Macaca fascicularis: one gene and its partners. The protein of the gene in region 5 interacts with the protein of the main gene of each other region in a pairwise test. Links are inferred from orthologs where the notes say so. Each region holds a gene or a part of one and is shown on either strand. Other genes may lie near its edges. The genes, in order: KCTD14, SAXO1, MIIP, PLSCR3, STK16, ADAMTSL4 and TRIM42.

Region 1 (4,593 bases), on a different chromosome or scaffold from region 5:
TTTCTGGTAAATGCTAATGTTAGACAGAAACAAAACTTAACATTAGCCAATCACAAGCAACCAACTAACATATAATTAAGTAACTAGGGACTTTTCAACAAAGGAAACCAAAAAAGGTGATTTCGTAACTGTAACCAATGAAATATATATGTGAGTGTGTGTGTGTGTGTGTGTATATATATATATATATAAATATATATATATATATATATATATTTTTTTTTCCCCCCTGAGAGGGAATCTTACTTTGTTGCCCAGGCTGGAGTTCAGTGGTGCAATCTTTGATCACTGCAAGCTCTGCCTCCCATGTTCCAGCAATTCTCCTGGTTCAGAGTCCCAAGTATCTGGGATTACAGGCACGCACCACCACACCCAGCTAATTTTTGTATTTTTAGTAGAGACGAGGTTTCACCATTTTGGTCAGGCTGGTCTCGAACTTCTGACCTCAAATGATCTGTCTGCCTTGGCCTCCCAAAGTGCTAGAATTACAGGCGTGAGCCACCGTGCCTGTCCCCAGTAAAATATCTTGTTTCCACATTCTCCCCATAAATATTTGCCTCTGATGCATTGTCATGGGAACATTCAACCTTTTTCCATCTGGTGTTTCCCAATTCAAGAATTGCCTGTTATCCAAGTACACTCTTAAAAAAGTTTTGTTGAGCCTCAGATTTTACATTTTAACACCACCCTACCTCCTAGGGTGCTGGTTTTCTGATCTGTAAAATGGTGTTGACGATATTTCACTCCCTAGGACTGTAGGGAATAGAAAGTCTCTAGCTGTCAATGTCAGTCAATGTCAACTCCCTCTGCCTCCCCCATTTCACTCCTGGGAACTCTGAGGCCCAGAGAGGGGCATTAACTAGTGTCAACTTTAATAACGGGATTCAGGCAATACGTTTAAATAATTTATTTAAGCGTAAAGTTTGAGAATGGCCAAGCGGGGGACACAGGCTCCAATAAGCTGGGTTCAGTGCTCTTGAGTAGAGTGGTTTGAGGGTCATTCATTTATATAAGCAAGGTCTGGGGAATAATAAGCAATAATAATAAGAAGAATAAGAAGCAAGGTCTGGGGAAGCTTAACAGAATTTTAACATTTTCCATATTAGTTAAGTGTATAGTTACAGCAATTTAATTGATTCTAGGCAGTGTTTCTGTTTGAGAAAGGTACATTTAACATTCCACATTAAGATGTAATATTCAAACGGTCTTTTATCTCAGTCATGGGGTCTTTCATCTCAGGTGCCATCTGATCTAAGCCGCAAAAGAAAATATAGGAAGAGGCAAGGTGCTGTGGCTCAGGCCTGTAATCCCACCACTTTGGGAGGCTGAGGTAGGAGGATCACTTGAGCCCGGGAGGTTGAGGCTGCAGTGAGCCTGATCTGCCACTGCACTTCAGCCTGGGCGACAGAGTGAGACCCTGTCTCTGGAAAAAAAAAAAAAAGAAAAGAAAGAAAAGGAAGGAAATTAATCTATATCAAAAGGTCAGTACTTAAAGGGTTTGCTCCATTTCTCAGTCTCCAAAGTCAGCCCTCCTCAGGGTCTAACAACTTTTAAAAGCCCTAAATAGACAGACTGTTCATTTCCTTCTGCACTTGGCCAGGTCTCACTAAAAGCCACGCCTGGCCCAGCCCCATCCCGCCTTGAGCCTTGGTGTCCCCACCTAGGGGCGGGCAGCCAGGGGCACTTCCGCTGGCCCAAGTGATCTGCATGTGGCAGGGCTGCGCAGTGGAGCGGCCAGCGGGCAGGATGACGAGCCAGACCCCTCTGCCCCAGTCCCCCCGGCCCGGGCGGCTGACGGTAAGTGCCAGGCTAGCTGAGTCCCCGCGCCTCTGCCCTCCCTTCCAGTTTCTCCTGCCCGTCCGTCGCAGCCGGCCGAGCCCCCTACTTCTGGCGCACTGTCTCCCTGCACCTCGGGCTGGTCGCTCTCTTCTGTCTTTGCTATCCCTCCTGCTCGGATGGCTCTCCTTTCGCGCCTCGGTGTCCCTTTCTGGTTTGGCTCTGTCCAGCCTCTCCTTTTTGCCCTTTTGCTTCCTCCCTCTGCATTCGGTCTTTAGTTCCACTCCCTTCTCTCTTCCCCCGGGCTTGTCCTAGTCCAGGGCTTCTCCTCTGCTCCTCCTTCTCCCCTGCTCCCCGTGGGAGAAGCCCATCCAACCAGCTTGGCCAGAGGATCTTTCCCTCACCCGCAGCCCTCTCCAACCTGCCCCTGCCCCTGCCCTCTGGCTGGGACCCGAATCCCTCTGCTTGCCTGCCTGGTCCCTGGGCTTGGGTGAGGGGAGTTGGGGAGGAGGATGGGGAAAAGGCTGGCTGCACTCTAGAAGCAGAACACTCGGGTTCTCTCCTGCACTGAGAATCATCCTGAAGACCTGGAGGAAGGGAAAGCAGATCCAGCAGCAGGTCAGCGTGGCTCTCTCTAATAGGGCCATGGTCACGTCATTGCTGTTGGCTATTGACAAAGTCACATGCCTAGTGCCAGGATCGCCCTAGGTGCTCAATAAATGCCTGCATGAATTACTGGGGAAGTGTAACGCACTGTGCATGATGCCAGGTAGGGCAAGATTGGCCTTGAACAGAACACTAGATGCTCCTGTAAATCAGAGGATATTCCCCTCCCTTAGGAGCCTCACAGCCTTCTTGCTTGTTTGTTTGTTTGTTTTTGTTAAAATAGAGACAGGGTCTTGCCATGTTGGTGAGACCCAGGTTGGTCTTGAACTCCTGGTTGAAACCCCAGACTGGACTCAAACTCTTAGGCTCAGGCAATCCTCCTACCTCAGTCTCCCAAAGTGCTGGGATTACATGCGTGAAACACAGCACTTGGCCAGGAACCTTGCAATCAATGAACAAACAGGGAATTATAAGGGAAGAACTGCCAGGCCAGTGGAAGTATAGTAGTGTAGGACTTTCTGGGACCACAATGAGACAACCCACCCCGAAGGACTCCCAGAGGAATTCATCTGAAGGATGAGTAGGGTCAGAGAAAGGAGTGTGGATGGCAAGTGAGTGAGCTTCTGGAGGTGAGGGGGCCTGGCTTGCTCCGGATTGGAGGGGTGGGGAGCAACCGGCGGTTCTGGTAGCTGATTGCGAGGGGTGAAGTAGCAGCCCAGTTGCAAAGGGCCTCTAAACCTTGTTATGGAGTCTGGAGTTTATCTGGAAGGGAATGAAAAGTTGCTCAAGTGTTTAATGCAGGGAGTGATAGGATCAGATTTGTACTTCAGAAAAGGTACTCTCAGCCAGGCGTGGTAGCTCATGCCTGTAGTCCCAGCACTTTGGGAGGCAGAGCGGGTGGATCACCTAGCTCCGGAGTTTGAGACCAGCCTGGCCAACATGGCGAAACCCTGTCTCTATAAAAAATACAGAAATTAGCAGGACATAGTGGCACACGCTTGTAGTCCCAGCCACTCTGGAGGCTGATACAGGAGAATCGCTTCAGCCTCGGAGGTGGAGGTTGCAGTGAGCCGAGATTGTACCACTGCACTCCAGCCTGGGCAAGAGTGAGACCTTGTCTCAAAACAAAAAACAAACAAAAAGGAGCTTAGGAACAGGGCTGAGGTCTTGTTTGATAAAGAAATGGAGCTGAAGATGTCCGCACAGGAAACTTTTTTTCTTTGAGACAGGGTCTCCCTCTGTCACCCAGGCTGGAGTGCAGTGGCGCAGTCTTGGCTCACTGCAACCTCTGTCTTCCGGGTTCAAGCAATTATCCTGCCTCAGCCTCCCAAGTAGCTGGGATTACAGGTGTGCGCCACCAGGGCCCAGCTAATTTTTTGTATTTTTAGTAGAGATGGGGTTTTGCCATGTTGGCCATGCTGCTCTTGAACTCCTGGCCTCAAGTGATCCTCCCACCTGGGCCTCCCAAAGTGTTGGGATTATAGGTGTGAGCCACTGCACCCAGCCTATTTTTTGAAGCATCTGGAAATTAGCTTCAGAAAGGACATCGGATGTGATTGGATCTGTTAGACTTTCAGAGCTGGGGGAGCTTAGAGTTCTCTTGGTCCCTTTTACCTTCCTGTTTCACAGATAACTAAGCTTAGGCCCAGAGAAGGAAAGCAAAGGGCCCTGGGCACATATCTAAGTACTGGCAGTAGTGGGGCAGGATGTTGGGAAGGATGGGAGTGAGGTACCCATATTGTGTTGGAGTCATGCTGATACAGGTTTCATCTCAGCTCCAACTTCATCACATCCTAGCTGTGTGACTTCTCTCTGAACTTTCCTTGCCTGTAATATGGGGATATTAGGAGGGCCTGGGAGCTTTCAGCAGTGTAGGAGTAATGAGAACATATTGGTCCATTCAAGGGGTAAAGTCTGCAAGTTGGCATTTAACTGGGTGCTTTACAGAGGTGACCTCAGGGTTAACCAAACAGTCCTGCCAAGGGGCCTTGAGGTTTTTGGGAGAAAGAGTCAGAGGTTCTGGGCTTATTTTTCTCAGCTCTATTGTTTGGCTGCTGTCAAGATGCATCCTCTCCTCTGCCTTCTCCCTTCCAGTAAGCAGAACTGTCCCCTGGTAGGAGATGTTGTCATGGCAATCAGATTTCTCCAGCAGTTCAGTTGCCTTTGTCTCTCTCTTTTTTTTTTTTTTGTTTTGAGACAGCCTCGCTTTGT
Region 2 (4,041 bases), on a different chromosome or scaffold from region 5:
AACAAAATCTGCAAGTTAATTGGCTGTATGGGACCCTCTTTAACAAAGTCCCTCCTCAATTTTGCTCAATTAAAAAAATATAAATAAAATAGCTTTAAATTACTTGGCCTTAGAAACAAACGTGGTAAAAAACCTTAGGCTCAAGAGAGAAACTCCAGGGTGGAATCTGGCTCACCACTGGGTCTAACTTTGCCACAGGTCTGGTCACAGCTGTCATTTTAGGACAAGCACATCCAGGCTCTCCAGAAACCAGGCCAGCCTGGGGCAATTTCTTCCAGGCTCTGAGCATTTAGAAGAGCCCACAGCTTTTGCTCACAGCTCAAGGACCAGGTGTTGACTGCCTGCTTGCCAAGGCTGCTTTTTCTCCCTCCTCTCCCTGGAATCATAGCCTGTACTGGCTTGGGGTTGGGGAGAGGTCTGGTGGGTTCATGCATCCCTGCCTCCCTTTCTTTCCCTCCATCACCTGTGACCAAAGACATCCACACCCCATCGAACAGCAGTATTCTTGCTGGTATGTCATGCAGTGAAGAGGTAGAAGGATGCTTTGTGAAGCAGCCCTGCACACAGAGAACCCAAAACAAGACCCCAGACCAGGCCCAAGGCACCTCCACCAATACTAACACACAGTGGGGATGCTAACGTAAAATTTCCCAAAGGTCCCAAGCAATACAGACTAATGTCTGCACAGCCAGCACATGGGTGTAAACACACAGAGCTACAGATTCATTCCCCCCAAAATAAAATTTATTCTTTGGTGCTTCATACTTGGCAAGGGTTAATCATTATGTCCGTTCATACAATGATTAAATTAATAAAATACATCTGGATTAGAGAAAACCTCAGAGACCAATTTTGATTCCATAAGCACAAAGTAAAGAACCTGAAACGGAGTGGGGATGCAGTAAAGGAGAAGTTAAGGGGAATTAATTAGCCGGTGATTAAATGTCATTTTCCCTGAGTCAAGTAATTCTCATTTTATTCAAGTGCTCTGGAAGTGGTGAAGGTTTTTTTTGTTTTTTGTTTTTTTCTGTCATTTTAGGGAATTCTTTTTTTTGTCCAACAAATAATTCTCAGTTGTCTGCTTTTAAAAGTACTGTGTAATTCCTAAATTACAATTTTTCAAAATCAGGCTGACACTTCCAACTTCCTCTGGCTGGGGTTTTCTGAATCATCCACAGAAAGATGGCTGCTCTGCTGAGAGCCTGCCTGGGAAACCGGCTTGTATATCCTGTGTCCCAAAGCATCCACTTCCTCAAAGGTGTAGCCAGGAGGCTCAGGATATGAAGCTAGGCACCTGCTCATTTCCTTGGGAGTAAAGCTGATGGTGTAGGTGGTCTGGCCTTCCACAGGGACATTTCCTCGAGGGCCAGACCAATGAGGCTTACAGCTTTTGGTATTGATAGGTGGGTGGGGCACATAGTGGGCCCGAGTGGTGGTCAGGCAGTCCAAGGGCTCGGTGGGAAAGTCCAGCTGGGGAATGGGCTTGACTGGCTCTGTGCGCATGCTGGACCACTGCTTGTAGTCATCCTTCGTGGTGGAAGAGCCTTCAAAGCGACCGCTTTTCCTAATCTGAGGTGCAGGTCGGCAGGACCGAGCTGGGACACCCTTAGGGTATGTGTAATGGGCCTGCACTGTTGTCAGAAGATCCATGCTGTCTTCAGGAGGGACGTAGGTGATGGGAGCTTTGGAGAACATCTGGGGCGTTGGCCAAGCTTGGTACTTATCTCGAAACTCAGTGGTGTTAGAGAAAGGCATGTCTAGCCCAGGGGGCCTGGCTAGAGGTTTCAAGCTCTTAGCAGGCTCACCCATCAGGCCCCGGTAGGATTGTTTATGAGTGGTAAGGCTTTCAAAGGGGATTTCACAGGGCCTGAACTTCTCTGCTTCGTGCACAAAGCGCTTCTCCACGGGGTGGGCCACGTAGCTCATCTTGTAGTTAGTCACATCCTCCAAAGGGATGTTACAGAGCTTTGGCATGGCCAGAGGTTTACAGCTCACAGTCTTCACAAGGCCTTTTATGGGGTAATCGTCCTGGTGTGTGGTCCTATTATCAAACCTGACTGATGCTGGCTGGTATTTGTGTTCCAGACGAAGTGGCTGTCGCCTTGGTTGGTTCCAAGGCAAATAATCAGCTGAAATTAAAGCAGAAGAGGTAATTAATAATAAATCAAGTCAACCAACTTGCATATATTCTACAGAGCCCGAAGGTCACAAGCCAGTCTCCAATGAAGTAGTCTTTGAGACAAAGGAACGACAGAGCACATCCCTGCTACCACTTGATATAGTGAGATAGGCAATTCACAGCCCACCACTGGCAGGCCACCAGCCAGACGAACTAGGCCTACCTGGTCATCTGTGGGGTGACAGCCCACTGTGTCCCTGTAATCCTCACATCTAATCCACATATATCAAATATGCTACTCCAAAGGAATAGGGCATTGTATTGGCTGGTGAGAGAAAAGTGGCTGCCACTTGTATAAAACTTATTACATAACAGGCAGTGTTCTAAGTGCTTTATATATCAACTCACTTAATCTTCAGACTGTCCTAATAAGGTGGGTACTATCAATGCCAGTTTTATAGATGCAGAAACAGATGCACAGAAAATGAGAGAATTTGTCCCAGCTCACTTGGCTAGAAGTGAAAAAGCACAAATGCAAATTCAGACCCAGAGCCCACGATCTGACCCACTCTACTCTCTGGTTCTAACAATTAAGGAATACCAACTACATGTCAGTCAATTGTGCTCAAGTCTTTCCATACATGATCTTGTTTCATCTTCACAATAACCCTTTGTGATGGGCATGATTCTCTCCATTCTACAGATTTCTAAAACAAGGCTCAGAGGAGCTAAGAAACTTGCCCGAAAGTCACATGGCTAGCGAGTTAAGTTGGAATTTAAACCGTATTGTTGACTCCAAAGCCATGTTCTTCTGATACCTCATATCACACACTTAAGGGCATTATATTTCCAGATAGAGTAAAGGTGAAAGAAAAAAATAATCAAAGGGAAGATTTGCAGGAGGAAAAGAACTTCAGAATGTTTGAAGAATTAAAAGAATTGGCCATTCTAGATGTCCATCTCAAGAGGAACCTCTGCTGTGGGGCTAGAACTGCCAACACAAAGGGAGGCCTGGACTCCAAGGAAATATGCAGTAGAGATGGCCTCCAGGCATCTTGAGGACCAGACACTGTCTTCAGACAGCACTGTAAGCCTTTGAAACTGACTTTATCACACAGACCCTCAGGGCCAGCACTAAGACTGAACGTCTAGGTGAGAAAAATGGGACGACAAACCATGTGATTCAACTGCCTTGGCACTGCTGGCATTCTTTCAAAATACTTGACTGACATCCAAGACCTAGGTTGCCCCACTAGGCCCCATAAATTACCAGGTTTAAAGTAGTGCTAGTGAGCCCTTCTAAATCTATAGGGAATTCTCTTGCTTACCACTTTACTAAAGGTTAGAAAAAAAAGCAGCTTCCGAGGAGCCTTAGGTATGTACACCAACACTAGTGGAGTCCGCAGGCACAATTTGTAACAGCTTTATTGAAGTCTAATTTGCATAATAAAACATACCATCTTAAGTACACAATTTAGTGACTTTTATAGAGTTGTATATCCATCACCAAAATCCAGTTATAGAGTATTTCCATCATGCCAAATGTACCAATTATCTTCATTTGTAGTCAGTCTTTACTCCCATCTCCAACCCCAGGCAACCATTAATTTGCTCTTGGTCTCTGTATCTGTGCATTTTCTGGACTTCTCATATAAATAGAATCACCCAATATGTAGCATTTTGCATCTGGCTTCTTTCACTTAGTGAATGTAATTGAGGTTCATCCATATTGTAGCTTATATCAGTAGTTTACACCTTTTTATTGTTGAATATTACATGATACCAAATTTTGTTTATCCATTCACCAATTGATGGACACTTTGAGTTGTTTCTACTCTTTGGCTATTATAAAAAAATTCTGCTATGAGCCTTTGTCAAGAAGTGTGTGAACATATATTTTCATTTCTCTTGGGTAGATACTA
Region 3 (2,941 bases), on a different chromosome or scaffold from region 5:
ACATCTGGGCGCTCTGCTAACCTTGCCTCCGACTCACTGCCCAGCCCTCAGTTTCCTCATCTGTCCCTGCTGGGGCTCTGAATGACCCACGGCTCCCAGGGCTGGGTGGAGGAGCCATGTGACCCCAGGGACTTCCAGAGAGCACTTCTATCAATGGATCCCAGTTCTGGGACCAGGAACGACAGAGCTGAGTCATTCAAGACGACTCACGGCTTCAGCAGAGGCCCTCGCTGAAATGACTTTTTTTTTTTTTTTGAGATGGAGTCTCGCTCTGTCACCTGGAGTTCAGTGGTGTGATCTCAGCTCACTGCAAGCTCCACCTCCCGGGTTTACACCTCAGCCTCTCGAGTAGCTGGGACTATGGCACCCACCACTGCGCCTGGCTAATTTTTTGTATTTTTAGTAACGATGGGGTTTTACCGTGGTCTCGATCTCCTGACCTCGTGATCTGCCCACCTCGGCCTCCCAAAGTGCTGGGATTACAGGCGTAAGCCACCGTGCCCAGCCTGAAATGACTTTTTAATAACCTTGGCCCAGTCTGCCTTGGGGACCCCCCTCCCCCATCTGGTGGAGGCCACTACCCAGAGCTGGGGATGTGCGGAAGGAGCCACCCTCATGGTGACGCACGCACACTGCCCAGTCCCGGTGGTCGCAATGTCTTCCTTCTGCAGGTGCCAGGAGGGCAGGCTGAGAGGCCAGAGTGCCTTCTGGGCCCCAAGTGCATGAGCAGGATGGAACCAGCACACGTGGGACTTGAGCTGCAGAGCACTGAGCTTTATTTTAAAATTTCCACAGAATCCCTCACCCTCCACCCCAGGGTCCTTCCTCTCTGGAACCCAGGCAGCAGACAAGCCTGGGCCCACCCACCTGCCCAACCTAGGACAGCCGGGCCTGAGCGGGGCAGGCAGGGGCTTCCATCTCCTGGGTGCGCCTGCCAGAGGTGAGAGGCTGGAGGCGGCGGGAATGCTGTCCTCCTCCAGGAGTCAGTCCTCAAGGCTTCTGCCGTGGGACGTGGGGCCGAGGGACCTGGGGCACTGACCAGATCGGGGTGGGGGGCGGCACCTGCATTGGCAAGGCGTGGATGGGGAAGAGGGAAGTTTCAGGGGGGCCACTTGAAAGGGACAGGTCATCTCCAGTTCCAGCCACATTCCCTCCTGGATCTTGCAGTCAGGGTGGCCTTCCTGGGTGGAGCAGGGCAGGCGGCAGGGAGCGGAGGAGTTCCGGGGGATGGCTAGGGTCAGGGCCAGAGGGCTGGACCCCTGCAGAGGGACACCCCCAGGCTCTATCCTCCCCAGCCCAATCCTACCCCCCAGGGGGCTCTGCAGTCCCCAGGCCTGCTCCAAGGTCTTTGTCCCTCTGGGGGGCACCCCAGGCTAGGATGTGATCTGGGCCATACCAGGCGAAAAGGGCTGGTGCCTGACAGCTTCTGGTGCTGGACCTCAGCGGAGACAGAGGACCAGAGGTCCAGGTTCTTGGGGGCTGAGCTTTTCTCAGACTTCGGAGGGAAAACGTCCCAGCCCAGCAGGCAGTGCTGTGGAAGGCAAGGTGTTAAAGGTGCCCGGCCTGGGATAGGCTCCCCGCTGTCTGGGCAGACCCCCATCAGGGAGGGACTGTGCCCCCCATTAGGAAGGAGGCCCCCACCAGGGCAGGGCCTGTGTCTACCCACAAGATTACCCCAGGTCTCTCCTTCCTTATCCTGGCAGATCCAGCCATCGCTGGGGCCCTAAGAGCTGAAATAGGAGGAGGACAGGATGGTGACAGTGACACTCACAGGGCGCTTCCTGCTGTGGGCTCTCCAAGCGCCCGCATGGATTGCTTCACTGACCAGCCCCACCTCGCCACCAACATCCCTGAGGATGGCGCTGTTATGTCCATTTCATGGACCAGCAAACTGACTTTCCTCTGTATCCTTCTCCTCCTCTGACCCCAGCTGCCCTACTCTCGATTTAGGAGTCAGGCGGAGTTGCCACTGGGCCCCCATCCTGACCTGGAGACACAGGAAAGGACTTTTTTTCTTTTTTTTTTTTGAGATGGAGTCTCACTCTGTCATCCAGGCTGCAGTGCAGTGGTGAGATCTCGGCTCAGTGAAGCCTCTGCCTCCCGGGTTCAAGTGATCCTCCCACCTCAGCCTCCCAAGTAGCTGGGACTACAGGTGGAGGCTGCAGTGAGCCAAGATTGTGCCACTGCACTCCAGCCTGGGCAGTAAGAACAAAACTCGGTCTCAAAAAAAAAAAAAAAAAAGAAGCACAGAGACCTAGGTTCAAATCCCAGCTCCTCCAGCAAGGCGCCTGCCACTCCGCTTCGGTCTCCCCACCTGCAGGGTGGGGGTACAGCAGTGCCTGCCCTCCTGGCTGCTGTGGGGGCTCCCTGAGAGAAGCCCCCTAAGGACTATGCCTGCAGTACACAAAAGCGCAATAAACAGGGTCCGTTCATTTCATGCCAGCCTACAGGCAGACCACCCTGGAAGCCCCGGGGTAAGTGGAGCGGGGGTCCTACCTCCCTTAGGGACAGCTGTGGGTGATGGAAGAGGCCCAGCCTGTGCTCCAGAGACTTGGGTGCTCACCACTGTCGAGCCCAGCCTTGCTCTGTGACCCTCCCTGGGGACCTGGGCCAGTCTGAGCCAGCCCCGCCCTCATCACTATCCAGCCCCACGTGGCTGCTCACCCGGGGCAGGGCCAGTGTGTCGGAGGCGTCAAAGCTCTTCCGCCGGTGGATGCGGTACCGGTGCGGGGGTTCCAGGATGGACAGCGGGATGCTCACCCTGCACAGGGGTGCAGTGGGGGACCCCTGAGGAGCCTCCCGGCGGTTGGGGGCCCACGCCCAGGCCCATCTTTACTCGCTTAAAACCAGTGGTTCAGGCTCTGTCCCCACAGGTGTCCCAATACTCTGGTCACTCACCTGACCTGCGCCGGCTGCGCCAGGGTCCCAGGGCCCTGCTGGT
Region 4 (4,511 bases), on a different chromosome or scaffold from region 5:
TTCACCATGTTGGCCAGGATGGTCTCCATCTCCTGACCTCCTGATTCACCCGCCTCGGCCTCCCAAAGTGCTGGGCTTACAGGCGTGAGCCACCGCGCCTGGCCTAACTATTGCCTTATTGGTGATGCCTTCGTAGCCTGACTTTATTTATTTATTTATTTATTTATTTATTTATTTAGAGATGGATTCTCGCTCTGTTGCCCAGGCTGAAGTGCAATGGCGCGATCTCGGCTCACTGCAACCTCTGCCTCCCGGGTTCAAGAGATTCTCCTGCCTCAGCCTCCCGCGTAGCTGGGACTACAGGCGCCTGCCACCACGCCCGGCTAATTTTTGCATTTTTAGTAGAGATGAGTTTTCGCCATGTTAGCCAGGCCTGGTCTCAAACTTCCGACCTCAGGTGATCCGCCCACCTCTGCCTCCCAAAGTGCTGGGATTACAGGCATGAGCCACCGCGCCCCGCCACGATCTTTCTAAAACACACATTTGAACTTCTTTGTTCTAAAAATGTCTCGGTGGACTCCTTGCTGCCCGTGGGGCCAAATCCCAGCTTCCGCACAACCCGCCGTGTATGTGGACTGCACTCCGTCTCTAAACTCATCTCTTGCGCCACTGAGCCAGTGCTCCCCAAGGCCAGGACTGGTCCTGGCTTAGGATCCAGTCGAAGAGACTCGTCTAGGGGGTCTTTTCTGACCGCGCGTCCTCCTCTGGCCCTCTAGGCGGCCTGAGCACGCTCACTGACACCGTTTGGCGGCTTGTCACCTGCGTGGCTTGGGCACCTGCAGAAACTGCTGTTGCTGCGAGGTGCCCGTGTGGGTCACCGCTGCGCCAGTGAGAGAAGACGGCGAGGTCGCCCCTGGGAGGCAGAAGGCGAGCCAGGAGCCAGTCCTGGAAGCCAATGAGTGAGTGTGAAGGGTGTTCCGCTGCGTCAGCGAGGCCCGACCGCCCTTGGGAGGAGGAGCCCAGGGGCCAGCGCGGCGCTGGCCGCCCTCGCCTCCCACCAAGGGCGCTGAGCACGCAAGCCGCCGACCTGGCGGGGTTCGCGGGGCCCGGGCCCAGCCGCCGCCTCCCCCAGGCGCTCCTACTCTCCGGGCATCTGCAGTCCGAGCGGAAGGGGCGGGAACGCCGGCGACGCTGAGGAGCAAAGCACACGCTCGGCCTCCCGGGGCAGCTGACCGCCTCCTTCTTCCCCGCACAGACGCACCGCCCAGGAGGGGGCGGGCCCGGCGGGTCGGGGGGGCGGGGCCGGGGTCGGGGGGCGGGGCCGGGGTCCGAGCTCCGGCCCGCCTCTGCCTCCGCCAGCTCCTGTGAGCCGCCGAGTGCTAGGCACCCGGGCTGTTCTGAGGGCTCCAGGTGAGCGGGGGCACAGAGGGGTCAGGGAGACCGCCCTCGAGGTGGGGCTGTCGGTCTGACCGCGGGTCCATCTGTCCTGCCGTCCGCCCACAACCTCCTCCGCAGGATGGGAGAACAAAGGGAGGGGGCGGTTCTGGGGCCCCCGAGGGAATCCTGGGTCCCAGGTACCCAGCCCCGCCCGCTGACACTTTGGTTTCTCCCCGAGTCAGAGGCGCCGCCCAAGAGACCCTGGGCCCGCGCCGGGCGCAGCTGCCTCTCCGCATTTGCCTGTCCGTCTTTGTGTCTGTCTCTGGGTCTGTCTGGCTATCTCCGAGTTTGCCTCCGCTTCCAGAACTAAGCCATCCAGACACCATCATCCCGAAACCTCAAGCCCTTCTCCCATGGCAGGTAAGTGTGCGCGCAAGTCCGGGGGTCTCCGTTATCCCCCCACGGACTTGAGAGCCGGGTGCGAACACATCCTCCCGGAATGTGCTCGGACTGGCTGGGTGGGGCCCCTCCCTTCCTTCCGGGGAACCTCCACCCTGCTCCCCTGCCCCATCTTTCTCTGCGTCTTGCCACCACGTTTCCCCCGAAGCCTTGCGGCCCATGGGCTGAAGAATAAGGGGATGAGGCCTTGGGTCCCTTTCTAATCCATCCTGCCCCCACCGCTTTACAGGCTACTTGGCCCCCAAAGGCTACGCCCCTTCGCCCCCACCTCCCTACCCTGTCACCCCTGGGTACCCGGAGCCGGCGCTACATCCTGCGCCCGGGCAGGCGCCAGTGCCTGCCCAGGTACCTGCCCCAGCTCCCGGCTTCGCCCTCTTCCCCTCGCCCGGTCCCGTGGCCTCGGGGTCTGCTGCCCCCTTCTTGCCACTGCCTGGGGTGCCTTCCGGCCTCGAATTCCTGGTGCAGGTGAGTGGGAAGGAGTGAGGGAGGATGACTGGGAGGGGACCTGGGCGTCCAGATGGGCCAGCTGATGTGCGCGCCGCCCCTCTCTTTCCAGATTGATCAGATTTTGATTCACCAGAAGGCTGAGCGAGTGGAAAGTGAGTAGAAGGAGTGGGAGGTTGGACCTCATGATGGTGGCCCGGATGGTGGGCTCCTGGGCGCGCGAGGCTCTATAAGTCTCCTTGTGTCACCCCGGGCAGCGTTCCTAGGCTGGGAGACCTGTAACCGCTATGAACTGCGCTCTGGGGCCGGGCAGCCCCTGGGTCAGGCGGCCGAGGAGAGCAACTGCTGCGCCCGTCTGTGCTGTGGCGCCCGCCGGCCGCTGCGTGTCCGCCTGGCCGACCCCGGGGACCGCGAGGTGCTCCGTTTGCTCCGCCCGCTGCACTGTGGCTGCAGCTGCTGCCCCTGTGGCCTCCAGGAGGTGGGAGGAGGAATGGGTCCAGGAGGGCGGGCCTTGGTGGGGCGGGACAATGATGAGGTCCACCTGAGATGAGGCCTGGATCAGGTGGGAGTGGGCAGGTGGGAATGGGAGGTTTAGTGAGGGCCAAGTAGACACCTGATAGAGCTGGGACCCCTGCCTCCGCAGTGACCCTGTCTGCTTCCCACTCCAGATGGAAGTACAGGCTCCCCCAGGCACCACTATCGGCCACGTGCTACAGACCTGGCATCCCTTCCTCCCCAAGTTCTCCATCCAGGATGCCGATCGCCAGACAGTCCTGCGAGTGGTGGGGCCCTGCTGGACCTGTGGCTGTGGCACAGACACCAACTTTGAGGTATCAGGAATACTAGAGGTTCTTGGGACCTTCGTAAACCTAGATGATGCTTCCATGAGGCAAGATAGTTAACACTAAGGTCAAGACCCTGAGCTCATCAATCCAAATCCACTGTGACTCCGACCACATTTGCAGCATTCCACCATTTGGAAATAGAATGGCCCCGTGGTCTTATAAAAGTGTAACAACGAGGATTTCATCTTCAGGAGCAATGTTGATTATTACACGTGGCCCTGAGATGGGCAGAAAAAAAAAAATCTAAGGCCAGCCTGGATTTGGGGTGAAGGATGCTTAAGTCTGTGTGGGCTGGGCCCATGTGGCTGCTGTGTATGAGTTTGTGAGCCCAGGCCCTGGAGCAAGCACGATTTTAACATGTTAACATCCTGTGGCCTGCCCTGCTACAGTAGAATCCACATGCCCCTGCCATTCTGATATCCAATATATCCTTCTCACATTTCTGTCACCAACCTGGAAGCTGGAGATCCCAAGTGGTGAGAATTTCAGAGAAAGGTGAGGCCTGGGAAGCACCTTGGTTTCTAGAAGACAAAGGCATTCCACAGACCCTTGAGTTCTTTTTTTTGTTTTGTTTTTTTGTTTGTTTGTTTTGAGACGGAGTCTTGCTCTTGTTGCCCAGGTGGGAGTGCAATGGCATGATCTCGGCTCACCGCAATCTTCGCCTCCCAGGTTCAAGCAATTCTCCTGCCTCAACCTCCCGAGTAGCTGGCATTACAGGCATGTGCCGCCATGTCCGGCTAATTTTGTATTTTTAGTAGACATGAGGTTTCTCCATGTTGGTCAGGCTGGCCTCAAACTCCTGACCTCAGGTGATCCACCCGCCTCAGCCTCCCAAAGTGCTGGGATTACAGGCATGAGCCACCACACCTGGCCGACCCTTGAGTTGTTTAAGGGATAATTCCTTGTGCATATAAGGGAGAAACAACTGGTATAATCCAGTAGACTTTCCAATGCTTCTAATGAGGTACCTACCTAAGATTACTTTGCAAAAATGAGTCACCTTGGTAGCCAGAGGGAGATTCCGTGATGGGAACCAGTTGGGAATAAGATGTAATAACTGTGTGATCTCCGGATGGGAATGTATAGGCTGTGGGGTTCTCATAGGGCCAGTGTCCCTTTTACATAATTATAAATGATCCATACTTGAGGCTGCACCCTTAGGACCACGGCAGGAAGTGCCCCAGAGCTGTAGGACAGTGCAGGAAGGGGATGGGAATGACACAAAAGGAAATCACTCCAGTTCTAATCCCAGAGAATGAGCACAGGAAAAGGACCAGGAAGTCACGGGGAGTAACTACCCACATCGGCATGGCCTGTTGCTGTGTGGCTCAGAGAAGCCAGTGGAAATTGTGGTCCTCAAAGGCTACTGACTGCTGCCCCTCCCCACAGTAGATAGGTGTGTATCCCCTCTAGATGAGGCTCTCATGCAGTGCTGGGCAAGACCCT
Region 5 (4,734 bases):
CCGGAGTTCAAGACCAGCTTGGCCAACAGGGCGAAACCCTGTCTCTACTAAAAATACAAAAATTAGCTGGGCCTGGTGGCGCGCGCCTGTATTCCCAGCTACTCCGAGGGTGGGGGTGGGGGTGGGGGTGGGGGTGGGGGCTGAGGCAGGAGAATTGCTTGAACCCGGAAGGCGGAGGTTGCAGTGAACCGAGATCCTGCCACTGCACTCCAGCCTGGGCAACAGAGCGAGACTCCATCTCAAAAAAACAAACAAACAAAAAAGAAATGCAAAACCTCAGATCCTACCTCAGACCTATAGAATCAGAACTTGTATTTTAACAAGATTCCCAGGTTATCCTAAGCACCTTTGAAATCGAGAAGCATGGCTTTACTTGACTGGGGGCCCTGAAGACAGGGAGTGCCCTGTTCATCTCAAATCCTCAGCTTCTAGCACAGGGTCTGGCACAGAGTAGGTTAAATCTGGATGAATGAATGTCAGAACCAAAGGGCTAAAACAGGTTCAGAATCAAGGGAAACTGTTGGAAAATCTTCAGGGTGATCCGGGGTGTGGAAGGAAGGAACCAGGTCACGAGAAGGACCTCTTTCCTGGAGAGCACCGTTTCAGCAAAACAGCAATTCCCTCCTGGCCATTCCACCTTCTTTGGAAGTGCACCCCTCTCCAGCTTACCCTGCCTGCCTCAGCAACAGATGTTAAGGACAACTGCTTTGTGCCAAGGCTTGGAAACTTGTGAATTTCCTTTTCTTTTGACTTTACAATCTCAAGAATGGGATGTGAAGATCAGGGTAATAATAATTACTGTTTATTGACATGTACTGAAGGCTATGTGTCAGATATTGTATTAAACACTGTACATCTAATTTAATCTTCAAACAACTCCATGAAGTAGATAATTATCATTTCCATTTTACAGAGGAGGAGAGGAATGGAGGGAAACATTAAGTAGCCTGTCCAAGGTCACACAACTACGTTAACAGAGCTGGCGTTTGAACTAGTCAGTCTGGCCTCACAGTTAAGCTACTTAACATTAGGTACTATTATACCTATTTTACAGCTACTAAAAGTAAGGATCCGAGAGGTTAAGTAACTTGCCCGAGGTTACACACCTAGTATGCTATTAACACTCAATTTAGAAACTGAAAGTCTGGTTCACAAGCCTGAGCTCTTAACCACTGAGAGTAGAGGTAGTGGGATACAGGCCAGAGCCCGGAAGGTTGTAAGGGATCAGGAGACCAGGCCACCAGACCCGCCCCTACCTGGAATCCCCTCCGGGCTGCAGTGTAGTAGCCGCTTTCTGCCCCAGAGCGCCGGAGGTATGAAGCCTCCTACCTCCAACATTGGGAGATGGAGGTCCTGGGGGCCTCGGGCCGAGCCCGGCTTTGCTCCCCTTTGGCGCAGATGCCTGCGTCTTGACCCCCACTGAAGGCCAAGTAGAGAACCCTCACCAGGGTCCTGGGACCCGTCCACCCCTAGACCTAGCTCGCCCTGGGCCTCTCAGCTCCGCGCCCCCACATCCTCCAGATGCCCAGCGGTTGCTAAGATACCGCGGGCCGTTACGCCGCCGCGGACTGATGATGTCAGCACTGCTTCCGGTCGGTGGCGCTTCGCTCTGTCCCGAGCCAGGTCAGTCGGGGAGTGCAGGCTGGCCCATTCCAGACTCTGGGCTCCTAGGCCGGGGGTGGGCCCTGCCAGGAGTGGGCGTGAGCTTCGCACGTCCTCTGAAACTACGCTGTGCTCTGTCTTTGCGGCGCGACGGGTGTGGGAGCGGGGCCTGCCCAAAGGTGGGCTGGGGTTGGAGGAAGTGGCCCGGTAGCCGCTGTGTATCCTGAGGCCATAAGGCCCCTGACCCCCGCCGCTTGAAGCTGGCGAAGGAGCAAGGCCCATTTTCTCTAGACAATAGTGTAGGTTCCAGAGACCTGGGCCTGAGCTCTCCGCCTTGGTACTTCATGAGTCGTCTAGATTGTGCCGGACCTGTGTGAGACCGTGCCGTTGTTTTCTTTCCAGCATGATCCGCTTGGCCCCCAGCGCATCTCCTGGAAGAGCCCACTCACCCTGGACGAGCTCTTCGGTAGCCTCAGACTGTCCTTGAAGAGGATGACTGAAACATTATGGGCCACGCGCTGTGTGTCTGCTCTCGGGGAACTGTCATCATTGACAATAAGCGCTACCTCTTCATCCAGAAACTGGGGGAGGGGTGAGTGTTTGGAAGTCAGTTAACTAGGCCTCAAGGTTGTGGTCATTGAAGGAAAGCGGTGTGCACGTGCTTGGGGCACAAGGGTTTTATCCCTATCCCTATCTTCTCTCACCTGACAGAGCCTAGCTACACAGCATCAAGAAGGTGGATTCTGGAGCCAGGCCTGCTAAATCCACCTCATGTGACCTTGATAAACGATGTTTTTTTCATATGTTTAATAGAGATGATTATCATCCCTCACTGATGGAGTTGTGAGGATTAAATGAGATAATGTGTATAAACTGTCTCACCCAGTGCGTGGTTCTTAAGTACTTGATAAGTGTTGGCTATTATGGGCCGGGCGCGGTGGCTCAAGCCTGTAATCCCAGCACTTTGGGAGGCCGAGACGGGCGGATCACGAGGTCAGGAGATCGAGACCATCCTGGCTAACACGGTGAAACCCCATCTCTACTAAAAAATACAAAAAACTAGCCGGGCGAAGTGGCAGGCGCCTGTGGTCCCAGCTACTCGGGAGGCTGAGGCAGGAGAATGGCGTAAACCCGGGAGGCGGAGCTTGCAGTGAGCTGAGATCCGGCCACTGCACTCCAGCCTGGGTGACAGAGCCAGACTCAGTCTCAAAAAAAAAAAAAAAAAAAAAAAGTGTTGGCTATTATTTATTTAGCATCTGTCACGTGCAGAGGTCTCTATTACGACCATAGGACCTCAAAGATTTCTGTATCTCTGCTCCTGAGGAGCTCACAGTGTAATATTCTTCAGATTTCTCTTAGAGCCACATCTTGGGAGGGTTTCTGCTAAATGGGAAGGACACCCCACTCCCCACCAGGAAGTTTCGCTAGGTCTTAGCCATGTGGGAGATGACCATGACCCTTCATTGACCCCTTTGGCCCACAGTGGGTTCAGCTATGTGGACCTAGTGGAAGGGTTACATGATGGACACTTCTACGCCCTGAAGCGAATCCTGTGTCACGAGCAGCAGGACCGGGAGGAGGCCCAGCGAGAAGCCGACATGCATCGCCTCTTCAGTCACCCAAACATCCTTCGCCTCGTGGCTTACTGTCTGAGGGAGCGGGGTGCTAAGCATGAGGCCTGGCTGCTGCTACCGTTCTTCAAGGTCAGAAAGACTCCCGGTTATGGAGGGGGTTGCAACAGAGCCACCTACCCATGGGCTATGTGAGCAGTCCAGCATGTTAGGAAGCAGGGACCATGTCCTGGGTTTGGCCACTTTAGATTTTGAGTTTGAGGTGTGTATCATGAAAGGGCTGATAGGCTTTGACATAGGGAAGGGATCAGGCCTAAGGAGCAGAGGCTCCAAAAACATCTCCAACTGTAGGGAAACTTGTGTTGCAGAGAGGTACGCTGTGGAATGAGATAGAAAGGCTGAAGGACAAAGGCAACTTCCTGACTGAGGATCAAATCCTTTGGCTGCTGCTGGGGATCTGCAGAGGCCTTGAGGCCATTCATGCCAAGGGTTATGCCCACAGGTCAGTGGGAGGACCCTGTATGCTTGCTGGGGCCCAGAGGAAGAGCCTTACCAAGAGAAATGGGAGGTTTCTGTTCTCCCAAGAAACAGCCTGTATGATTCTTTTGCTTGCTGGGATTCCAGCCTTCCTGTCCAGAGATGCTCATAGGTCACTTCTACTTCCCTACAGGGACTTGAAGCCCACCAATATATTGCTCGGAGATGAGGGGCAGCCAGTTTTAATGGACTTGGGTTCTATGAATCAAGCATGCATCAATGTGGAGGGCTCCCGCCAGGCTCTGACCCTGCAGGTAAAAGAATCTCCAGGTTCCTTTTCTCACCTGTTCCCCATTCCCACCCCTTCTGGTGCATGCCCCAGTTTGGTCACATGACCATGACGAGTGCCCCACTTTTGAGCTCTGGGATCACTGTTCCAGGACTGGGCAGCCCAGCGGTGCACCATCTCCTACCGAGCCCCAGAGCTCTTCTCTGTGCAGAGTCACTGTGTCATCGATGAGCGGACTGATGTCTGGGTGAGGAGCATGTGGGTGGGTATCTGGGTAGGGAGGGCTGTGACTCTGTACCTGCTGTGGAGTAGAGTAGGTCGTTGGTTTCTGTTGCATGGGGCCCCAGGAACCACAGTATGTCCCCATCCACTTCAACTTCCTTCCTGGGAACTGTCACTGATACTGTACCCAGTTGCACCGGATGTGGTATAATCCCTGCCCCGAACAAGGTGAGTACAGCTCAGTATCAGTACTGAAGAGCAGGAGCTAAGCTAAGCAGGGGCTGCGGAGGCCTCCAACCGACTGGCAGTTTCTCTGTGCCCTGGTGGTGCCATGTGGCTGAGGTCAGCTTATTCTTTTTAGCTTATGTAGTCTTTTACCACAGAAGTAAGGGGAGCGATGTTATCTCCATTGGTCCCCTTCTAGGGACTAACCAAGTTATGCTCAGTCCCTAGGCTGCGTGCTATATGCCATGATGTTTGGAGAAGGCCCTTATGACATGGTGTTCCAAAAGGGTGACAGTGTGGCCCTTGCTGTGCAGAACCAACTCAGCATCCCACAAAGCCCCAGGTGAG
Region 6 (4,041 bases), on a different chromosome or scaffold from region 5:
GGCCACTGCACTCCACCCTGGGCGACATAGCGAGACTCCGTCTCAAAAAAAAAAAAAATTAATGAGACTGTGCAAATACGTGTGTGTGCATGTGTGCATGTGTTCATGCATGTGTCTACATGTGTATGTGTACGGGTGTGTGTGCACATATGCGTGTGTGCATGTGTGTCCGTGTGTGTCTGTGTGCATATGCATATGTGCATGTGTTCATGCACAAGTGCACATGTGTATGCACACATGTGTCTGTGTCCATATGTGTGCATATGCATGTGTGTCTGCATACGTGTGTGTACATGCTTGCATGTGTGCATATGTTCATGCATATGTGTGTGTACATGTGTATGTGTACAGGGGTGTGTATCTGTGCGCATATGCGTGTGTGTGTGTGTGCACCCCGTCTTCCCTCACCAGACAGCGTCCAGCCACACAGATGTCAGGGGCTCCAGGCTGACATAGGGTCCCATCCTGGACCTTTTCGGTGTGACGGACATAGAAGCGGAAGCCACGGGGCCGGCAGTTCAGTTCACAGCGCTGGGAGCCCTGGACTAAGGGACAGAGTAGAAGGGTGGTTAGGGGCTCCCTGGTGGGAGGTTAGCTGAGAGAGGCCCCGGGGGGGCACCTTGAGGTTGCCCAGGTCACTGTGGATGAAGGAAATGTGACAACAGCACAAGCTGAGAAGGTGGTCAGGGCCGGCACAGTGGCTCATGCCTATAATCCCAGCACTTTAGGAGGCCGAGGCCGGTAGATCATTAGGTCAGGAGTTCAAGACCAGCCTGGCCAATATGGTGAAACCCCATCTCTACTACAAATACAAAAATTAACCGGGCGTGGTGGCACATGCCTGTAGTCCCAGCTACTTGGGAGGCTGAGGCAGGAGAATTGCTTGAACCCAGGAGGCAGAGGTTGCAGTGAGCCGAGATCTGCACTCCAGCCTGGGTGACAGAGCGAGACTCTGTCTCAGAAAAAAAAAAAAAAAAAGGAAGGTGGTCAGGTCAGTCGAGGTCACTGAGACCATCAAGGGGACTCTGAACCGAGAGAGGAGCAATCCCTGACGCCCATGATTCTGTGTGTTCAGAGCTCTTGAGTGCTTGTCTTGGTGTCAACACAGGCCTAAAATGAAGCGGATGGTAACTTGGGAGCAACCGATACGGTAGTGCCCAGGATACGTGGCACACCCCCACCCAGCTGTCACGGCTGGACAGGATCTCTCCCACTGTGGCCCTCTTGTGTCACAGCCACCCGACCCCCAGTGATGGCCTTCCCAGAGGAGTCCGGACAAAGCGTGTCTCCCGCACCTCCTCCTCCCACCCCGACCCCTCTGCAGACCACTCGCCGCCACCTGTGCTGTCTCCTGACCCAGCCCCAGGGAGAAGAAAGAAGGCACGGCGCAGGGGAAGCAGAGGGGCTGGAAGTCATTCAGGGCTGGGAGTAAGCAGGTGTCTCCTCTCCCCTTCATCCCCAATTCCAAGTCATCACTGCCCAGGGGTGGGCAAGAAACCTCACCTTCGGTGAAGGGCTCCCACTGGTACAGCTGGCCCATGAATTCCTGGGAGTTAAAGGCCGCGCACTGCAGGGCCCGGGGGTCTGGCTGCTCGGGGGGGCAGGGCTGCGGTGAGGGGTACAAAGGAGTCAGAGCTGGGGAGCAAAATGAGGGTAAGGTCAGGGCTGAACCTGGGGAGCAGGCGGGAGGATCAGGTCAGCGGAAGAGCTCCAAGACCCCTGCCCTGAGGTGGTCAGATGCCAAGGCCCTTCTCCCTCAGGGGCCGAGAAGAAGCTGAGGGCCCAGCTTCAGGGCGGGGAGGCCACACTGGAGGTTGGGGTTGGGAGGGGAGACCCGAGGAGACTCACCGCTTGGCTGCAGGCTCTTAGCTGCTCACTCTCCCCAGAACATCTTGGAATAGGGCTACTGGGAGCAAAGAGGCTCCAGAGGGAGCTGGCATGGGGGCCGTTGCTCAGCAGGGGCAGCCAGCCGTCCGGGTGCTGAGGGTCAGGCTCCAGGCGGTGCCCGTGAGGAGTCCCCCCCATTCCCCAGGGCCCCTGGCCCTGCTGGCCTCGGCCCCGAGGGACTGAAGGGAAAGGATCAGGGCGTCTCCCTGCTACCTGGGGACTGGCCCAACCCTGGGAACTTGGCCTTCGTGGCTGAGGGGATGCACGGAAGAAGCCACCTTCTCCTAAGGAGCGCGTGGGTGAGGGGGCCTCTGTGTCAGCGGCCTGGGCTCTGGGGTGGTGCTGTGGAGGGGCAGGCCTGGTTCTGGGAGCCACCTCTGTCTGAGCAGTTTCAGGGCTTAGAGGTTCTGCTTGGGGGGATGGGGTGTGGACAGACAGTTCTGTGGGAGGGAGCTCAGTCTTGGGGCTGCCGTTTGTGGAGAATGGCTCTGCTCTTGGAGTAGGGGATGGAATGGGCTCTTCCCCTCTAGAAGAAATCAGGGACAGCTCAGATCTGGGTGGCCTCCGAGGGTGCCTGCGGTTCCGGTGCAGTGGCAATGCAAAGGGCACTCTCCCATAACCGAACATTCCTGGCTTGATGGGGTCTCGAAGCCGGGACCTGAGAAGGTGTTTCAGATGTGGGGGCACAGCTCTGACCACCTCTGACCCTGTTTCCCCAGTTTACTTCCTGGCACCAAAGACAAGCCCTCTGAAGTCACCCGTGCTCCCCTTTCCTTCTTGCTAAGCCCCCACCTTGCCCAAGGCCCACCTCTTCCACCCAGGCCTCTCACCTCCTGGCCGCTTGAATCTCCTGGGTCTCCTCTCTCCCTAGGTGGGAAGCAGGACCTCGAAGTGGGCCACCCCTTCCCCGAGACTGTGTCCTGTACAAGGGGAGGGTTTCTGGAGAAGTCTGGGGTCTGGGACCCTGGCCCCGGGGGAGGAGGGCTTCTGGATGTCTTGGGGGCCGGGGAGGGAGGGGCAGACTCGGGCGGAGCTGCACTGTAGGGAGCTGACATGTCCGGCTCCTGCGCTGCACCCCCACCCCGCAGGGCTGGGAGCAAGAGGCCCACTGGACCCAAGGTCCCCAGACACCTTCGAGGCCCTGGCCCTCCTCTGTAGGTGTCTGAAGAGAGTGTCCGGACAACACCTATATAGAGAAAAAGGTCAGACAGAATTGGAAGGATTAGAGGGAACTGTCCAGAGCGTCCATCTAGACCACCGCTGGGGCTCACAGAGTCGCTGCCAGTCCAGGGTCACATTCAGCAGCAGAGGGAGAACTACACCTCGGCCTCTTGGTGTTGTGAGGCAAGTAACTGTGGAGTTGGCAGGGGAGGTGGATGGGCTGTGGGGAAAGGAGGCGTGGCCTGGAGAGATGGGGTGGGAGCCCAGGGGGAGATGAAAGGGTGGCAGGCAGGCTGCAGCTGCTCACTTGTCCAAAGCTCACCTCCTGATCCAGGCAGAGCTGAGGGAGGGACAGAAGCAGCAGCAGCAGCAGATACAGCCAGGGCCTGCAAACCAAAGGCCATGGGAGGGACGTCAGACTGGAGCCAGAGGGGGTGTTGCAACACCACCCTCCGCCCCCAGCCGGCTCCCCATATCCTGACTACCAACTTCTCAGAAAGCAGAAGTTACTCATCACTTCCCCTGCCCCTCCCAGTGGTCCTCTTTCCCTCACTTCCAGACATGCAGCCGTCCCAGCAACCCCCCCTTCCCTCCCCACCATGGCCCCTTCTCTCACCTGCCTGCCCAGTTCTCCATCACTCCCCCCTCTACTGCCCCAGGGCAAGGGAGGAGCGGACTGGTCACAAAAACTACACAGCCATCTGGGCAGGCATCTGGGTAGGCATCTGGGTGTGGAGGGTGCTCTCTGCAGGGACAGAAGCCTGGTGGTTACCTCTCCAGTGTCCAGAGAGCTTGGGGCTGGGAGGACAGATCAGAGTGGAGGAGGTGGTGAGACTGGCCCACCCCTTTAGGATCCTCAGGGTGGGAGCAGGGAGGATCACTGCCTTGTCCATCTGTAGAGGCTACATGGTCGGGGGCTGACCTCAGCCTTCCAACTAAGGCTCAGTCCCCACCCCTGGGCCCTGTAGGGGCTTCTTAGCTCCTCCCCAAATC
Region 7 (4,722 bases), on a different chromosome or scaffold from region 5:
CTCTCTCCTCTGTTTGCATAATAGTATTTGGATACTAATCTTGACATTGTGGCTGTGTTTCTTTCTACTTTTGTCTTCTTGCATTCCTTATGTGTCCCTGTCTTCCCCACTCCCTATGTCTGAGTCCAGATAGTCACAGGTGCTTCCCAAGTATATTGGAATGGAGTGGCCCTGTGGTGACAGAGAATGCTTCCTGTGTGGATTAAGGCACCTGGAAAATTTGTGCCTTAGGGATCTGGGAACTCCAGGCATGCTGGCCTCGATGTTCTCAGCTCTGTTTCCTCTCTGCTTTCCCAGATTCCTGCATGGGTCCTTAAGGGATCACCTGGAGGTACAGGTCAATTGTCCATGTAGTGCCCAGATGGACTTTAGTTTGCTAAAAAAGTAAGGACTGGAGGTATAATATAAAGAGAGACTGTTATGAGGCCTTCACAGCAGGTATCTCTACTAGGAAGCTCATGAGCTAGCATTTTCACAAAAAAGAAAGAAGAATGGGGGAGGGAGGTGTTGGAGGACGAGAAAGAGGTCTCAGGGCTAACAGACAGGTATTAATGGCCTAGGTAGCTGTGTTAGAGGTGAAAAAGGAAGTGGGAAAAAGACTAAGATGGAGAGGGATGCATGAGACCAGAGTGAGGCAGGACAAGCAAGGTGCTGAACAGAAAGTGGTGATGAGAAACAGGGGAGGCAGAGGGTCAGAAGCCAGGAGAGAGGCTAGATTGAAGAAAAGCACCCACAGCTGACCTCCTAACACTTGTGGTAGCATCCCTGCCCATCCTCCAAAAGCCTTAGGCTCGGATGGGGCATTCAGTGGCCATGGTTCCATTTCAAAACAGTCATCAAGCCCAGCGCTTTTATCTTCTTGCTGAGATATCCTGTCTCTGCTCCTCTGCACAGCCCCCTCTCTCCCAAAATCAGGCCTGTTCTTGCACCTGGATTCTTGCTGGATCACCTGTCAAATCTCCTGGCTTCCCTCCTAGCCCCCTGCAGGCCGTTCTACACATTAGAATCACCTGAAGGCGGGGGTTGAGTCTAATTAATTCAGATGCTCAGGTGGTACCCCAGACCAATAAAATCAATGTTTTGGGGGTGGGGATCAGGCATCAGTAATTTTAAAAGATCCCCAGGTGACTTCAATGCACAATAACGTTGGGGAGCTACTGAGCCTAAGGCATTTTCCTAAAGCACCAATTTTATCCCTTTCCTGTTGAAATGGGCTCAGAGGTTCAGCTGCTGCTGCACAGAAAATGAGGTAGTTAAGAGAGGAGTGTGGACACTATTTTCCATGCTTTAGGATTTCTAGACTTGCATCGAGAATCCCTGGATTTCCTATTTATGCAAACACTATGAGAGGGTCATGGGTGGAGAGTTATGTTTGTTAAGCATCTACTTAATGTTTAATTGCAAGATGGATAATATCTTTCCCCTGAATTCACCAAACCTTTGCTTACAGAATTGCTTTTCCAGGCTTGAAAGCCTTCTAACTGCCTTCTATTTTTCTGCCTCTTCTAATCCTGTCATCTTATGGTGATGTCATCTTTCCCCTTCTAAGAAGTGTGCTCTTACTACTTCAGACTCCCCTCATCTGTGACGTAAAAAGACTGGTTTGGTAGAGCAGGTGAGGATAATGTAGGACCTAATATGGAGGGTTAGTACTCCAAATGCGTAATTGAGACCCTGAGTACTATGACTTCTGGATGGGAAAAACAAGGTAGTAGGAGTTCATGGATGTATGGGGTATTTATATGATCCTCAGGGTCAAAAGTGCCCTGTAGAAATTCTTACTTTTCCATTAAATGTTGCAGGTATTAAGAGTTCATAGGAAGAGAAAGAGCAGTTTATATTTTTATATCACATACAGATTACAAAGCATGTACATTAATCCTTATATCTATAATATCATGGGAAGGGGGTATTGTCTCCATTTTGCAATATAGCATTTTAAAGTTAAGATCCCAAATTTTAGGTTCCAATCCTGACTGCATCTTTCCAGCTGTGTGATCCTGGGACAACTTTACTTCTCAAAGGCTCAGTTTCCTCATGGAAACAGTGGACTTAGGGTGAGGGGTTAGCTGGGGTCATGCATGAAGTTCCTGGCAAGTTGCTTAAGCACTAACTATTAGCTATTACTATTTTGTACAGATGAGAGAGTTGGGGTTCAGAGGAGTGAAGTGCTCATTTTCATAGTTAATGGTGCTTAGATTTGGAACTCATGGTCTACATACATAGTGACCATTTAGGATACAGTTAATTGCTACAAAATTCTTAGCTCCTTCTTAGATAAAGAAATGAACTCAGAGGCGCACTGGCCTGCCCTGTGGACTTCACAGCTGGCAAGTGGTCCCTAGTTTTCATGAGCCAATGTGGCCCCACATCCAGTGTCTGACACTTACGAGATATGGACGCTCCTGAGGCGGCCCTTGTGGAAAGTGACGATGGTATTGCGGCAGCAGCGACTCTCATAGTAGTAGCACCTAACATTGCTGCTGGCTGTGCAGCAGCACTTACAGTTGGGATCATTGGCCCAAGAGCAGCAACACCAATGGCAGTTGGGGCTCTCAGAACAGGTGCAGTGGCAGAACTGGCAGTTCCGCTCATCTTTGTAAGGGCAGGGGAAGCAGGTGCAGTTCCGCTCTGAGGTGAAGATGAACTTGCAGCACAGACAGGAGCATAACTGAGGACAGCATCTCTGCCATGTACAACATGGACAGCAAACGCACATAGCAGTTTCCATGGCGCCTACATGATTACCGCTGGCCTCCTAGGGCTCTTGATGCCTCCTCTACCAGAATACTGCTATCAGTTCTCCAGTGGAGGAGTCCTTCCTCCCCTGCGTAAGGCCGTCAGCTTGAGAGTTGCAAGAAGTTGGCTGTTATGAGGCCTTCACAGCTGGTGTCCCTACCAGGAAGCTCGTAGGCTGGCATTTACATATATCAGTCTGAGGGTATTTGCTTATGTCACAATCCCTGTGTCTCTACCATGCTGGGTGGGTAGGAGGATGCGGCCTTGTGGGTGGTAGCAGGTATGTTGGTGAACACTCCATGCTTCTATGGAACCAGCTGTAGAGGAGTGGTGATGCAATGAGCATCCTGGAAGTTTAGTTGTCATTTGTCACCTTTTGGATAATGGAGTAGATTTCTGAAGTTATTTCTCCTTGTTTGGTGTTCTGCCTGCGATTTGGGCAAGTGGACTTCAGATTATGTCTTCGTAGACTGAAAGACTTGGGTATGGTTAATTAGAAAAGTAGATTCACATGTTTTTCCACGTTAGCGGAATTGATAGAATTCTATTTGAACGAAGGACAGTGTTTACAAATATTACCAATGCCATGTTTAAAGAGATATCACCATTCAGAGAGAGAGTTAAAGAAAAAATATATACAGGTTCACTTAGGAACTTCTTTCAGTAGTAATTGATTTTTATCAATGCATAGTCACTGCTCATTTTCATGAAGCTTTATACATAAGTCACTCTGAATATTTCTTTGCTTTTTTGTAGCTTCATGGTGTTTGGGTGAGGTTCAGGCTTTCTGTCTTTTCCCATCCTACTCCCACTCCAAAAAGAGGCTGGAACTCTACGTGAAATCTTTAACTGTTCTGCTAGTATACGCTCAGTATCCCTAGAAAAAAGACCCTATATTTTAGGGAAGAATTTCGCTTTCCCATTTATGCAACTTGCAAAGATTAAAAGAACAGAAATTTCATGGTCATGGTACATTAGAGTATGAATACTGTCTTATTTTTATAAAAAGCAGAAGTGAGAGCTGAGTTTGGCTGCAGGAATTTACTGCATAATTTATTATCTCTCCCTATAGTTATCACCTTTATAATAGGAGAGAAAATCACTGAGTGCCAACTATGCCAGCCACACATCGATACTAGATTTCTACAAGTGAAAATCCTGGATCATAGGGTATGTGCTTTATCTGTCTTTTTTTTAATGCAAAACGCTCAGTTTCTTACTCAAATGTGCCAGTTAATACCAGCAAGGAATATAAGACATTCAAAAAAGTGAAACACCTTTTCCCCACATGTTTGCCAAAACTCAGTTTTATCAATATCTCTCTCCGTTCTCCAGGCACACAGGTTAGAGTTTCATTCCCAGATTTATGATACATTTTCACGATTGCCTTCTGTAAGGTCTTATTAAAAAATTATTAATATGTAATTCGCTCACCATTAAATTCACCATTTTAGAGTAAACACATAAATGGTTTTCAGTATATTCATAAAATTGTGCAACTCTCACCATTATCTAATTCCAAAATCTTTTCATCACCCCCGTAAAACACTCATTAGCAGTGTCTCCCTGTTTCTCCTTTCCCCCAGCCCTTAGCAAATACTCTACTTTTCTGTATTTATGGATTTGTCTATTCTGGAAATTTCATATAAATGCTATCATATAACATGTGGCTTTTGTGTCTGGCTTTAATTTAGCATAATGTTTTCAAGGTTTATCCATGTTATAGCATGTATCAGTATTTAGTTTTTTATGGCTGAATAATTTCGTGTGGATATACCACATTGTATTCATTGTCGGTTAATGGACATTTAGATTGTTTTCACCGTTTAGCTGTTAAATGTTTGAATGTTTCTGTGAGCATTTCTGTATACATTTTTGTAGAAATATGTTTCCAGTTCTTTTGGGTAGGTTCCTAGGTGTGGAATCCTATGGTAACCCTATGTTTAACTTTTTGTGGAAATGCCAAGCTGTTTTCAAAGTGAC

Evidence for each region.
Region 1: the proteins of STK16 (region 5) and KCTD14 interact in binary tests that used the Homo sapiens proteins (3 or more experiments, as listed by UniProt). The link is inferred for Macaca fascicularis from reciprocal best matches to the Homo sapiens genes STK16 and KCTD14.
Region 2: the proteins of STK16 (region 5) and SAXO1 interact in binary tests that used the Homo sapiens proteins (3 or more experiments, as listed by UniProt). The two-hybrid records come from large-scale screens. The link is inferred for Macaca fascicularis from reciprocal best matches to the Homo sapiens genes STK16 and SAXO1.
Region 3: the proteins of STK16 (region 5) and MIIP interact in binary tests that used the Homo sapiens proteins (3 or more experiments, as listed by UniProt). The two-hybrid records come from large-scale screens. The link is inferred for Macaca fascicularis from reciprocal best matches to the Homo sapiens genes STK16 and MIIP.
Region 4: the proteins of STK16 (region 5) and PLSCR3 interact in binary tests that used the Homo sapiens proteins (3 or more experiments, as listed by UniProt). The two-hybrid records come from large-scale screens. The link is inferred for Macaca fascicularis from reciprocal best matches to the Homo sapiens genes STK16 and PLSCR3.
Region 6: the proteins of STK16 (region 5) and ADAMTSL4 interact in binary tests that used the Homo sapiens proteins (3 or more experiments, as listed by UniProt). The two-hybrid records come from large-scale screens. The link is inferred for Macaca fascicularis from reciprocal best matches to the Homo sapiens genes STK16 and ADAMTSL4.
Region 7: the proteins of STK16 (region 5) and TRIM42 interact in binary tests that used the Homo sapiens proteins (3 or more experiments, as listed by UniProt). The two-hybrid records come from large-scale screens. The link is inferred for Macaca fascicularis from reciprocal best matches to the Homo sapiens genes STK16 and TRIM42.

Annotation. Positions count from the first base shown.
Region 1 is NC_088388.1:76,915,748-76,920,340, reverse strand, and holds the start of KCTD14 (BTB/POZ domain-containing protein KCTD14), read left to right. Parts: upstream 1-1,679; 5' UTR 1,680-1,707; coding exon 1,708-1,797; intron 1,798-4,593.
Region 2 is NC_088389.1:79,947,100-79,951,140, reverse strand, and holds part of SAXO1 (stabilizer of axonemal microtubules 1), read right to left. Parts: intron 2,130-4,041; coding exon 1,126-2,129; 3' UTR 1-1,125. UniProt on the Homo sapiens protein: May play a role in the regulation of cilium length. Stabilizes microtubules at low temperature.
Region 3 is NC_088375.1:222,764,129-222,767,069, forward strand, and holds the end of MIIP (migration and invasion-inhibitory protein), read right to left. Parts: coding exon 2,899-2,941; intron 2,762-2,898; coding exon 2,665-2,761; intron 2,395-2,664; exon of another isoform or gene 2,255-2,394; intron 1,532-2,254; coding exon 1,397-1,531; intron 1,063-1,396; coding exon 991-1,062; coding exon of another isoform or gene 984-990; 3' UTR 754-983; downstream 1-753.
Region 4 is NC_088390.1:7,438,061-7,442,571, reverse strand, and holds the start of PLSCR3 (phospholipid scramblase 3), read left to right. Parts: upstream 1-1,304; 5' UTR 1,305-1,350; intron 1,351-1,555; exon of another isoform or gene 1,556-1,559; 5' UTR 1,560-1,730; coding exon 1,731-1,737; intron 1,738-2,005; coding exon 2,006-2,241; intron 2,242-2,332; coding exon 2,333-2,375; intron 2,376-2,477; coding exon 2,478-2,698; intron 2,699-2,863; coding exon of another isoform or gene 2,864-2,888; coding exon 2,889-3,050; intron 3,051-4,511. UniProt on the Homo sapiens protein: Catalyzes calcium-induced ATP-independent rapid bidirectional and non-specific movement of the phospholipids (lipid scrambling or lipid flip-flop) between the inner and outer membrane of the mitochondria.
Region 5 is NC_088386.1:115,181,933-115,186,666, forward strand, and holds the start of STK16 (serine/threonine-protein kinase 16), read left to right. Parts: upstream 1-1,595; 5' UTR 1,596-1,781; exon of another isoform or gene 1,782-1,901; intron 1,902-2,000; exon of another isoform or gene 2,001-2,004; 5' UTR 2,005-2,108; coding exon 2,109-2,194; intron 2,195-3,085; coding exon 3,086-3,305; intron 3,306-3,541; coding exon 3,542-3,675; intron 3,676-3,843; coding exon 3,844-3,964; intron 3,965-4,090; coding exon 4,091-4,186; intron 4,187-4,607; coding exon 4,608-4,729; intron 4,730-4,734. UniProt on the Homo sapiens protein: Membrane-associated protein kinase that phosphorylates on serine and threonine residues. In vitro substrates include DRG1, ENO1 and EIF4EBP1. Also autophosphorylates. May be involved in secretory vesicle trafficking or intracellular signaling.
Region 6 is NC_088375.1:110,697,674-110,701,714, forward strand, and holds part of ADAMTSL4 (ADAMTS-like protein 4), read right to left. Parts: intron 3,847-4,041; exon of another isoform or gene 3,794-3,846; 5' UTR 3,685-3,793; coding exon 3,665-3,684; intron 3,435-3,664; coding exon 3,371-3,434; intron 3,074-3,370; coding exon 2,718-3,073; intron 2,546-2,717; coding exon 1,849-2,545; intron 1,636-1,848; exon of another isoform or gene 1,607-1,635; coding exon 1,504-1,606; intron 546-1,503; coding exon 409-545; intron 1-408. UniProt on the Homo sapiens protein: Positive regulation of apoptosis. May facilitate FBN1 microfibril biogenesis.
Region 7 is NC_088376.1:43,533,006-43,537,727, reverse strand, and holds the start of TRIM42 (tripartite motif-containing protein 42), read right to left. Parts: upstream 2,898-4,722; 5' UTR 2,732-2,897; coding exon 2,391-2,731; intron 1-2,390.